Linked DNA regions of Struthio camelus. The protein of the gene in region 2 purifies or fractionates together with the protein of the main gene of each other region. This does not show direct contact. Links are inferred from orthologs where the notes say so. Each region holds a gene or a part of one and is shown on either strand. Other genes may lie near its edges.

The links. Proteins that work in one complex are often made in the same cells at the same time.
Region 1: the proteins of SSRP1 (region 2) and CHD4 purify together in Homo sapiens (affinity purification with mass spectrometry; 3 studies listed by BioGRID and IntAct, with this or other methods). This does not show direct contact. The link is inferred for Struthio camelus from reciprocal best matches to the Homo sapiens genes SSRP1 and CHD4.
Region 3: the proteins of SSRP1 (region 2) and CSNK2A2 purify together in Homo sapiens (affinity purification with western blotting; 3 studies listed by BioGRID and IntAct, with this or other methods). This does not show direct contact. The link is inferred for Struthio camelus from reciprocal best matches to the Homo sapiens genes SSRP1 and CSNK2A2.

Annotation. Positions count from the first base shown.
Region 1 is NC_090942.1:90,899,326-90,903,063, forward strand, and holds the start of CHD4 (chromodomain-helicase-DNA-binding protein 4), read left to right. Parts: upstream 1-898; 5' UTR 899-1,167; intron 1,168-2,057; 5' UTR 2,058-2,141; intron 2,142-3,218; 5' UTR 3,219-3,280; coding exon 3,281-3,377; intron 3,378-3,738. UniProt on the Homo sapiens protein: ATP-dependent chromatin-remodeling factor that binds and distorts nucleosomal DNA. Acts as a component of the histone deacetylase NuRD complex which participates in the remodeling of chromatin.
Region 2 is NC_090946.1:7,555,193-7,558,930, reverse strand, and holds the start of SSRP1 (FACT complex subunit SSRP1), read right to left. Parts: upstream 2,634-3,738; 5' UTR 2,550-2,633; intron 1,740-2,549; 5' UTR 1,597-1,739; coding exon 1,543-1,596; intron 875-1,542; coding exon 689-874; intron 304-688; coding exon 198-303; intron 1-197. UniProt on the Homo sapiens protein: Component of the FACT complex, a general chromatin factor that acts to reorganize nucleosomes. The FACT complex is involved in multiple processes that require DNA as a template such as mRNA elongation, DNA replication and DNA repair.
Region 3 is NC_090951.1:30,371,357-30,375,094, forward strand, and holds the start of CSNK2A2 (casein kinase II subunit alpha'), read right to left. Parts: upstream 2,381-3,738; 5' UTR 2,302-2,380; coding exon 2,198-2,301; intron 1,888-2,197; coding exon 1,776-1,887; intron 1-1,775.

The DNA of each region.
Region 1 (3,738 bases), on a different chromosome or scaffold from region 2:
AAATCCAGGCACACAGCAGAAGCAAATGGATAGTGTTACGGAATATCTATGTATACAGTGTACGTAGGGACATATTTTTGGTATGGTTTGCATGACAAAGTATAGATTGTATTACAGGATGGATGTTAGCAGTAAGGCCGCCGCTAATATATTGGGAATCTGTGTCTTACAGCAGCGGGCCAGTGCCACTGTGCGCAATGGGCATGTGTACCAAAAGAAGTGGGATGGCAGCGTAGAATGTTTTTATCTAAAGAGGGATGAGTATAATCTTTGACACCTGTGTATTTATTGGGTGAGACGGACAGTAGGGTGCATCTGCCTTTATTGAGATTAATAGTGTTAATAAAGATGCTAAATTGGGGATAGGTAATATTATGGCATGTGATTTTGTGTAATGAAAAATTAATGATATTGTTGCATGTGCATAATTGGGGTGTATTTATTTTTATGGACTATTCATGTCAATATAACGTGATGATTAGTTTGCTGGTGGAGGGCACTAGCAGGGAGCGGTGTGTTGCTCTATAAAACGGCTATGTCTCGAGCAGGAGGGAGGAACAGCACATATTGGAGGTTTTCTCTGTATCCCTGGGGTAGGAATAGTTTTAAAGGTACCGGCGTTTATGACAGGCGGATGCATTGTGTGTGTGGTCAGGAGGTGACAGGAGTCACTGTGGGATTGACACACAAGCTGCTGATGGTGGCTGGTGATTGCGCTGTAGAGCGCCGTGGACTACTGGTGGGTACCGCGAAGGGGCCCGCAGCGCTGTTGGGTGCACGCGACAGAGCGGAGAGTGCCAGCGTGCTATGGGGCACCGTGGGCCCGATTCTGGCAGGTGCGTGAAGGAGGAGGTGGAAACGCGATACAAACGCCATACGTGGCTCTCTCGGGATGCCTGCCTCTGCCTATGGAGAGAAGGGATGACCAGGCACCCAGGGGTGCGCGTGGGAAGGACCTCCTGGGTGCTGCAGAGCCGGGCGCCGGACAGGCAGAGGGAGCAGCGCTGCACCAGGGCAGGCGCGCAGCGAGCTCGGTGGGGCGCTCAGTAGTCCACTATCAAGGGTCGGGCGAGAAGCGTGAGCGTGGCGGCCACGGTTCCCGCGGACGGCGACGCCTGGCTTCGGCTCCCGCCCAGCACCAGCGAAGCCTGCCCTCCACGCTCAGGGGTGAGCGGGGCGGTGGGCGCAGGGGGCCCGCCGGGGCAGTGGCAGCCGGCACCAGGGTCCTGTTGCTGCCCCGGCGGCTGCCTCCGAGGGGGAGGGTGGTGCCCGCCGTGGGGCCTGTGGAGCCCGTGTGGCCGGGAGGCACGCAGGGGCCGGGCGGCGGTGCCAGAGCGCTACAGTGGCGCGGCTGGCCGGGCGCCCCGGGGCCGTTAGGGGCCGCGCGGAGGGGACGGGGCCCCGCGGCGGGAAAGGCCCCCGAGGGCGGCGGCGGCGGGCGGGGCGGGGCGGGGGCCGCGGGTGGGCTGGGGGCGGCGGCGGCGCGGTGGGGAGGGTGGCTGGGAGTATTATGGGATGTCTGGCTGGACGGTGGCTCCCGGCGACTATTATGGGATGCCTGCCTGAGCGCGGGGGGGTGGGGTGGGGGTGTGACTATTATGGGATGTGCGCCTGGGGTATGACTATTATGGGATGTGCTGGGGGTTATTGCAGTGTGCGGGAGGCGGGGGGGGGGCCGACCAGGGGACGTGCCTATTATGGGATGGCAGGCCGGGCAGCGGGGGCGCGGGGTGAGGGGGGCGCGCGCGGGGGGCTGGTAGGGGACGAGTATTATGGGATGCCTGAGTGAAGGGGTTAGAGTGTGGGGAGTATTATGGGATGTTTCTCGGAGGGACGGTTGTATTATGGGATGTTCCTGCTGGGAGGGGTTATTATTATGGGATGCCGGGCCGGGCAGTGAGTGGGAAGTTCTGAGGGGAGGGCGAGTATTATGGGATGTCTCAGTTGGGGGGGTTGCCAGGGAGACGGGGGCGGGGCCCGTTGCTGGGGTCCCGGGGCATATTATGGGATGGAGGCGGGAGTGGGGCGGGGCCTGGCTGGGTTTTTTCCCCTTTAAGAGGCGGTGCCGGGGCCGGAGCCATTTTCCCTTCAGCAGCGGCGGCGGCGGCGAGCGAGCGAGCAGAGCTGGGGTCTTGAGCCGGGTGAGGAGCTGGGAGGGGGCGGGTAGAGCTTTCCGCCGCTGCTTGGGGTGTCTCTGGCTGCGGGCGCCCCTACGCGCCGTGGGCCGCCAGACGCAGCTCCCTCGGGGCTGCGCTGTCCTCCTGCTCGGGCGACCGCAGGACCGCGGCGACACAGCACCGGCGAGCAGCCGCCCCGCCGGTGCCCGCTGCCCCGGCCGCTGCCAGCCGCTCGGCTCCCGGCCCGGCGCCCGTCCCTGGGGAGAAGCGGCCCCTCGCCGCATGCGAGCCGGACTTCCCCGGCCCCGCCCCGCGCCCCCGCCCGGGCGACCGTGCCCCGCCGCGACGCTGCCCCCCCTCCCCCCCCCCCCCGCCCGCCTGCCACCCCCGCCCTGCGCCGCGCAGCCCCGCTCCGGGCGGGGGCGCGGGAGCGGCGGGCAGCGGAGCGGGGCTGCCGGCGCCGCCGAGCCGGTCCTGCCTTTTGTGCGCGCCCGCGGCGCGCGATCGCCCCGGTGGCAGCGGGCTGCAGGGACCCGAGGAGGAGGGGGAGGCTGCTGCTCGCCTGCCTCTCCGGCCGTGGTGGCTGCAGCCCGGGGCTGGCGCGCCAAGTTTGTGCAGGCGAGTTGGGGACTCCCGGCAGCACTTGTTCCGCCGCTGTCCGCCGTACCGGTCCCGGGCTCAGCCCCGACCGCCGCGGTGGCTGTGTGGCTCGCTGACAGCGCCCTGATTCAAGGTCTCCTTTGGAAAATCCGCCTCCCCTTCTTGCCTCTCCTTCTCCCAGTCCAAAGTAGAAATAACCTAGGGCGCACGCATTCTGGTCTGGCCCCTGATTGCAGGGGAAAGGAAAATTTCCCATAGGCTAGCTGTTTTGGCTTCCTTGCAAGGGATGAGTCGCTGACTCAGTTTACTATCTAGTGTCTTCAGAGTCTACTTCATCACAACTTTAAGCTGATACCTGCTGCCAGTGTTTCTATTATCTGTAGGCTCCAAATCCAGTAAAGCTGCCGTCCAAGCTTTCTCACAGATCTCCTTGTTAGCACTATTGCTTGGGAAACAGGAGTTCAGGTGCACTATAACTTTCTCCTTTCCTTTTCAATAAAGTACTGGCTTGACTGGCAGGAAGACACCTTGTATGAGCCTGGGCCTCCACCAGTTTGGAGGACATGGCATCGGGCATTGGATCTCCATCCCCGTGCTCAGGGGGCAGTGATGATGATGACATGGAGATTCTGTTGAACAACGCTATCTCCCAGCATCAAGGTACAGAGCCTACGGGGCATGAGTGTGTGAACTGGGGAGATGCTATTTTCATGCTGAATATGTGAGAGAGATGAAGATGATGTGCAAGGCAATGTTGTACTTTGCTAGGAGTCATGCATGTGCTTTTTTTTTTTTTTTTCAGTATGTGAGTCCTAGCTAGGATTAGCTCAAAATGAGGCTCACAGCTTTTAGTCAGGTGGAGCTGACTTTGTTCCAAGCCATTGCAGGTTGTCAGGGGCCTGTGCTTTGAGGAGGTATAAGGGGGTGGAGGCAGAGGGGTGGATTCTGACAGGGCACTGAAATGCCTGCAAGTTTCATGTTTCATGAATGGGGAGGGGGAAGAGGGGCAGTATGTGAAAGG
Region 2 (3,738 bases):
AGAACAACATCGGAAGCTGTTAACAGCCAAGTACTGCGCGAACAACCGTGCTGGTGGAACGGGAAACTGTCCCCAGCTACTGGATACCGCCCTAGCTCCACCACCTTGGCATGGGAGGTCCTGTCTGCACCCAGCACAGATCCCCTTTCTGCAGTAGCCCAGAGTCACTGGGCTGTTCCTAGCTCGCCACAACTCACCTCCAAACCTCACCGTCCCCCAGTTCCAACCCTTCACGCACAGGTCCTTCTCCGCCAGTTCCAGGCGGTAGTGGGCCTTGAAGAAATCTGAGAGCTTGTCAAACTCCTGGGCCAGGGTGAGAAGCAGGAAAAAAACAGTGAGTGTCTGTCAGAAGCTACCAGGTGCTCATGGGCACTGCCCAGAACGCATAACCAGGACAGAGTCCCACACACAAAAGGAGGAGCAAGAAAAACAGGGGTCAGAGTTGTTCTTAAGAGGAAGGAGATTGGCACTGCAAGGCTCACAAGCAGCAAAGCTAGATACGGAACAAGCAAAGAGGCTGCAGAACAAGCCCACAAGAAAAGGGACAGTTTTAGGGAAGAGAAAAAAAAAAAGCGCACTCCATGTTTTGAAGGGCTTGTGCAGTGCATGTGTGGGCATGCACGCAGCACGGCTCAGCCATCAGTCAGAGACAAGGAGAGGTCAGAGACAACGGGGCTTGGGGGCTCACCGATTCCCGGAAACCATCGTATTTGTAGACGTGGCCGTTCTTGGTGAGCAGCTTGAGGCCGTGACCGAGCGCCACGCGTCGCCACACGCCCTCCGCCAGCTCCGACGCCTGGATGTTGTCCACCTTCCCCGTCTTGCTGTTCTTGAAGATCACGCCCTGGCGGCTCAGGCGCAGCCGACCATCGTTCTGACGGGAGAGGCGGGCGTGAGGCGGGGCACAGCTCACCCCGCACTCACACCCGCGGAGAGGGGGGCAGCCCAAGGGAGACACAGCCCTCAGGCCCTGGAGCAGGGAACTGCCTCCCTTGGCACGGAACAGACGGCTGCCCAATCCTTCTAGGTGAAACAAGAGGACTCCCTTCAACACCTCCCCGGCTTTAGTCCTCCACGTGCTCTTTGCACGGGTTAATGTACAACGCGCACGCCTCTCAAAGTAGCTACAGCATTTACCAGTGGCACCCCTGCTCCTGGAAGCGTTCCCAACCACAACCTCGCTAGCTGCACAACAGGCAGGCGCTAAAAGCCCCTATTGATGGGGGCTCCAAAACACTTCAGCCCTGGAAACGAGGCGCCGCCGCTCTGGTTTCCGGTCGAGATCCGCCAAGCGCTCTCTGCCAGGACAAGGCAGCGAAAGAGACGTAGGGGCCCACACCCCAGTGCACAGCGAAGCGCCTGAAGCGTTTGAAGCGTTACATCTACGAGGCCACATCTCGCATTGACGTGTCACCTGCTCGTCTCCGGCCCCAGAGACGCAGCAAGCAACGCAAAGCTTTGGCGAGCGTGTGGCCCTGCAAGACACTCCTGCCACAACCGCAGGGAGCCCTTCCCGGGCAGACTGCTGCCCAGCGCTCTCACCATGGATCCCTTGACCTCCTGGTATATCTCGTTGAACTCCAGCGTGTCGGCCATGGCGGCTTCGGGGCCGAGAAAGCTGCGGCGCCTGGATTTTCAGAGAGGGAGGACGCCGAGAACAGCGAGTCTTTCACTTCCCTCCTCAGCCCGGCATGCCCTGGTCGGGTGGCAGGCGAGGACAACGTCTGAACAACGAAGCGCTGGGGGAGGAGAAGAGGGTGAGCAGAGCACGGCAAGGAGACACCTTGAGTTCGAACCCCTCGGGACAAGAAAGGCTCCTCTGCCGAGGAGAAGCTCACGCGGTCCAGACAGACGGGAGCACAGAGAGCCGAAAAGCTGAGGAACGAGGCTCGCTCCCGGCACCCCCACCCCCAGAGCTGTCCCTCTCCACCTGCTCCCGCCCCCCAACCCCAGCTAGCCTTGCCTACACCCCCGCGTCCGACCCCCCGGTCCCTGGGCAAGCTGCCTGACCCATTTTGGGGGGGGGGGGGGGGACGCACAGTCCAGCGGGAGCTGCCACGGGGCGACCGGACAACCCCCCAACTCTCCTGGCCTGTTCTCCCTTCCCCCAGCACCCGCCAACACCTCTGAAGCTCCCTCCAAGCCGCCCGAGCCCCCGCCAGCCCTTCCGGCCCCAAACTCCCACCCCCTCGCCCCCCCGCGGGCCTTCCCCTGCCCCTCCCTCCGTCCCCTGCCACCCCAAACCGCCTCCCTCTGCCCCGCGCCCCAAAATGCCCCAGAGGCACAACCCTGCCCTCAGGTTCCCCCCCCCCCCAAAAAACCTTCCCCTCCCACCCGCCTCCCGGGCCCCCCGTACCCCCCCCGGGCCCCTCCCCCCCACCGAGCTCCGCCGCCCCTAGCCCCCCCCCCCACCCCCAGACCCGCCTCCCGGGCCCCCCAACCCCCGTACCCCCCCCAAGGCCCCTGCCCCCCCCATCCCGGCCCCTTGTCCCCCCCCCCCCCCCCCCCCCCCGCACCGCGGCCACTTTTCCCGCCTGCGCAACACGAACCTCGCGCGGAGCCTCCTCCTCCTCCCCCCCCCCCCGCCAGCCGCCGCCGCCGCCGCCGCCGGAACCAGCCCCCACTTCCGCCATAGAGAGGCGCGGCGGCGCGGCCGCTCTAGGCGCCACCGTCGGGGCGGGGGAGGACCTCGCGCTGCCCGCGCGGGCCGGGACCATGGACAGCGCGGAGGACTGCGGCTAGAGAGGACGGGGCGCCCCCGCGCCTTTCCTCGCCGCCCCCCGCCATAGAGATGTCGGGGAGGCGGGGGCTAGACTAGCCGCTCCCTGCGGCCTCACCTGCGGCGCTCCCTCACCTGCCACCATAGAGAGCGGGCGGACTCCGGCAGGGCGGGGGCGCCGCTGCCGGGCGGGCGGGCGGGCAGCCCTGCCCCCATTGGCTGGCGGCGGGGGGTCAGCCCCGTGACGTCACCGCGGCGGCCGGGGGGGTGGTGACGTCAGTACGGGGCACCACACCCCCCAAAGGCCCCCCCCACAGGGGCCCCCCCAACACGGGACCCCCAAAACGGGACCCCCCCCACACACAGGGGCACCCCGAAAACGGGACCCCCAAAACGAGCCCCCCCCAGAGAGGTACCCCTAAAACGAGACCCCCCCTCCACAGGGACACCCCCAAAACGAGGCACCGCCACAACGAGCCCCTCCCCAAACTCGAGGGGAGGGAGGGGGGGGACAGGTTATCCACACACCCCAAACATGCCTCCCCCCCACCCCCCCACCCCGCTCCCCACAGCCGTACCCGGGCACCCTGCCAGCGCCCCCCCCCGCCTCCTTCCCAGCAGGGCGCCGGGGCGGAGACGGGGAGCCAGAGCAGAGAGATGGACAGACGGACGGACAGACAGACAGACAGACGGACGGACAGATAGACGGACAGACGGACGGACAGACAGACAGACAGACGGACGGACGGACGGACAGACAGACGGACAGACGGACGGCCAGCCAGACGGACGGACGGAGAGATAGACGGACAGACAGACAGACAGACGGACAGACGGACGGACAGACAGACGGACAGACGGACGGACAGACAGACGGACGGACGGAGAGATAGACGGACAGACAGACAGACAGACGGACAGACGGACGGACAGACAGACGGACAGACGGACGGACAGACAGACGGACGGACGGAGAGATAGACGGACAGACAGACAGACAGACGGACAGACAGACGGAC
Region 3 (3,738 bases), on a different chromosome or scaffold from region 2:
TCCAGGGCAGGCCCTTTAGGCTGGGGACAGGCAAGGAAGAAGATTTCTCAAAGACTTTCTCTGCAGTCCTGAAGCCTAGTGGCACCTTTTTATGTGGGGCAAGATCTACAGTCTCAACCAACCATAGCACTCCTGGAGAGACCATCGGGGCTCTAGAGCAGCACACAGAAGCGCACAGTTTCCTCAGCCTAACCACAAGCCATCTTGCTGTAACATACAACCCTACACTGGCTACCTCTGACTACTCTCTCTCAAAAGAGAAACTCCTGCCTGCCCCTACCTAAAAAACAAACAAACAAAGAAAACCCACACCACCTTATGTAAAACATCTAAAGGAGGGGGAAGCCTGAGCAGTATGCCAGAAGAACTCAGCAAGGACACAGAAGCCTCACTGCTCTGCCTTTATGCCAGGACTCGGCCACAGGGGCTCTCCCTAATGGCTCACCTAGCCACAGTCAAGGCAGGGATACAGTTTACTCCTCTGACAGGAAGTCATGCCTTGCCTAGGAGCTGTGACCCAGCAGCCTATGACAAGTTCTCTGGGAAACCAAGAAGGATCCCAAGAAAGCAGGAATAGTGGATGAGTGGGGAGAGGAGCAAAGACAAAACTAGCCAGCTAGCCACACTATCAGATCAGATCTAGCGAACTCCTCCTAGCCTCAAGGCTATGACCTGGAGCAGAGACACGTATCCTACGTAGTTACTAGCCTTAGCGGCTGCAAGGACAACTTTCCAAGCTCTGAACCCTCCCTGCACACTGCAGATCAACATGAGCCCAAATTCTTAGTATGCCTGTGATCAGAAACTAGCTCCCACATGCTCTTCAGGAACAAGTAAGAAGCGTTGCTGATTCTACAAACAACAGCCACAAGCATCAGCCAAACCAAAGCCAAAAGCACCTTTTGTTTCTGTTTTTCGATTCTCCCCCCCACCATCCTCACCCCCAGACCACCATCACAGACTTCTGCAAACACAGCTACCACGCCTCTCTGTAAGCACACTGCTTCAGCATCAAACGCAGTAAGGTGTGCCCTACAGAGGCTAATCCAGTGCATTTAGTCGTTCCAAACTGCAACCGGTTACTTTTGCAAGAAGATCCCCACACCCCAACCTCTATACAATCAACACACCAGGGCATATCACTAATGCTGCTAACTGTCAAATGGTCTGCTTCAGCCTCCTCAAGTTTCCACAGTATTTTTGACCTGACCACAGTGAAGTTCTCTTCCATGGAGCAGATCCTTCAAAGGGCCAAATCTAAGATTTTGTTTGCTTTACTAAAGCCTGACCGCTGAGCATCCTGCGGCCTGAACCCTGAAAACGCCGCACGCCAGCTGTCTAAAGGTTAACAAAAAGATTCCCCCCTGGGCTTCATATTCCTGTTGACATGGCAGTCCTTGCAATGTTTTAGACAGACATTGCCAGATATGATTTACCAAATGCAGGCAGCACATGCAACACTGTTCAAGTGTCAGGACTCACAGCACTCCTCCTCCCGAGGAGCTCTCGGCCTGGAGCAGGCTCCAGCTACTCTGCACAGAAGGGGTGGAGACATTGAAACATCACTACAGCACACAGGACACTAAATCCCTTTCCCAAAATACAGTCCAGCACTCAAGTGTCCACAAAGCAAAGAACAAGAGTTTTGGGGTGCAGGACAAGACCTAACAGTCTTTTGGCCCTAGCACAGCTTCTTTCCTCCTTATTCCCAGCTCAAAAATGAAACGAGGGCCACTGCCACCATGAGCCCCTGCAACCACCCGCGAGGCGCTCACCTTGAGGATCTTCACAACTACCCTCTCGTTGTTGGTGATGTTGATGGCCTCGAAGACCTCACTGTACTTTCCCCGGCCAAGCTTGCGAACCAGCTGGTAGTCATCCTGATTGCTGCAGGCACCAAAAAAAAATAAAAGAGAGCAGAGGGAGAGGAAAATAACTGACAGGGCACCAGGCTGGGATGGGGGGAAGGGGGGATCCCCCTCCCCCAGGCCATTCCCGCAGCCGCCCGCTTCCCCGCGGGGGAGGACCCATGGGGACGCCGAAAAGTGGCGGGGGAGGGGGGGGAGCTGGCTGGGCGCCTCCCCTCGGGCAGGGGCCTGCAGGGCGGAGGGGCGGCCGGCCGCCCCCAGCCGCCGGCGGGCCGGGCGAGGGGGCCGGCGGCGGCCCGGGGAAGGGGGGTCCCCGCGGGGCGCTTTACCCCCAGCTCGGGACGTGCGCCTCGTAGTCCCAGTACTCGCGGCTCCTCAGGCTGTTCACCTCGGCGTACACCCGCGCCCGGCTGCCGGCGGCCGGGCCGGGCATGGCGGCGCCGGGCGGCGGCGGCTGCAGGAGGAGGAGGAGGGCGCGGGGCCGGCGCGGGAGGCCGGCGAGGCGGGGCGCGGCGCGCAGGAGGGCGGCGGCGGGGGGCGGCAGGGCCAGGCCGGGAGGGCGGGGGCCGGCCCCGGGGGCGGGCAGGCGGGCGGGCGCGGGGCCCGCGCGGAGCTGTGGCGAGGCCCGAGGCCGCTGCCGGTGCCCGGCGGCGGCGGCGCTGCAGCCTGGGCCGGCCCCGAGCGCGGCGCAGCCAACCCGGAAAAGGCGCCGATGCAGCCGCGCCGCCGCCGCGCCGCCCGCCGCGAGAGGCGGCCGCCCGCCCCGCCGCCGCGCCGCCCGCCGCGCAGCGCCCCCGGCGGCGCGGAGGACGCGCCGCGCCCTGGCCGCCGCCCGGCGCCAACGGCCGCCCCGCGCCGCGCCGCCCCCCCGCACCGCCCCCGCCGCGGACCGCCGAGCCCCCGGTCACACCCGCCCATCGCAGGCCCCGGGGCTGCCCCCGGCCCCCCCCCGCAGCCCCGTCCCCTGCCTCGCCCCGACCCCCGCACCCCCCCGCACCGCCCGGCCCCCCCCCCGCAGCCCCGTCCCCTGCCTCGCCCCGACCCCCCGCACCCCCCCGCACCGCCCGGCCCCCCCCCCCGCATCCCCCGTCCCCTGCCTCGCCCCGACCCCCGCACCCCCCGCACCGCCCGGCCCCCCCCCCGCAGCCCCGTCCCCTGCCTCGCCCCGACCCCCCTCACCCCCCCGCACCGCCCGGCCCCCCCCCCCGCATCCCCCGTCCCCTGCCTCGCCCCGACCCCCCGCACCCCCCGCACCGCCCGGCCCCCCCCCGCAGCCCCGTCCCCTGCCTCGACCCGACCCCCGCACCCCCCCGCACCCCCCGGCCCCCCCCCGCATCCCCGTCCCCTGCCTCGCCCCGACCCCCGCACCCCCCGGCCCCCCCCAGCCCCCCCCCCGCAGCCCCGTCCCCTGCCTCGCCCCGACCCCCCGCACCCCCCGCACCCCCGGCCCCCCCCTCGCATCCCCCGTCCCCTGCCTCGCCCCGACCCCCCGCAACTTCCGCACCCCCCGGCCCCCCCCCGCATCCCCGTCCCCTGCCTCGCCCCGACCCCCCGCACCCCCCGCACCCCCCGGCCCCCCCCTCGCATCCCCCGTCCCCTGCCTCGCCCCGACCCCCCGCACCCCCCGCACCCCCGGCCCCCCCCTCGCATCCCCCGTCCCCTGCCTCGCCCCGACCCCCCGCAACTTCCGCACCCCCCGGCCCCCCCTCGCATCCCCCGTCCCCTGCCTCGCCCCGACCCCCCGCAACTTCCGCACCCCCCGGCCCCCCCCTCGCATCCCCCGTCCCCTGCCTCGCCCCGACCCCCCGCACCCCCCGGCACCGCCCGGCCCCCCCCTCACATCCCCCGTCCCCTGCCTCGCTCCAACCCC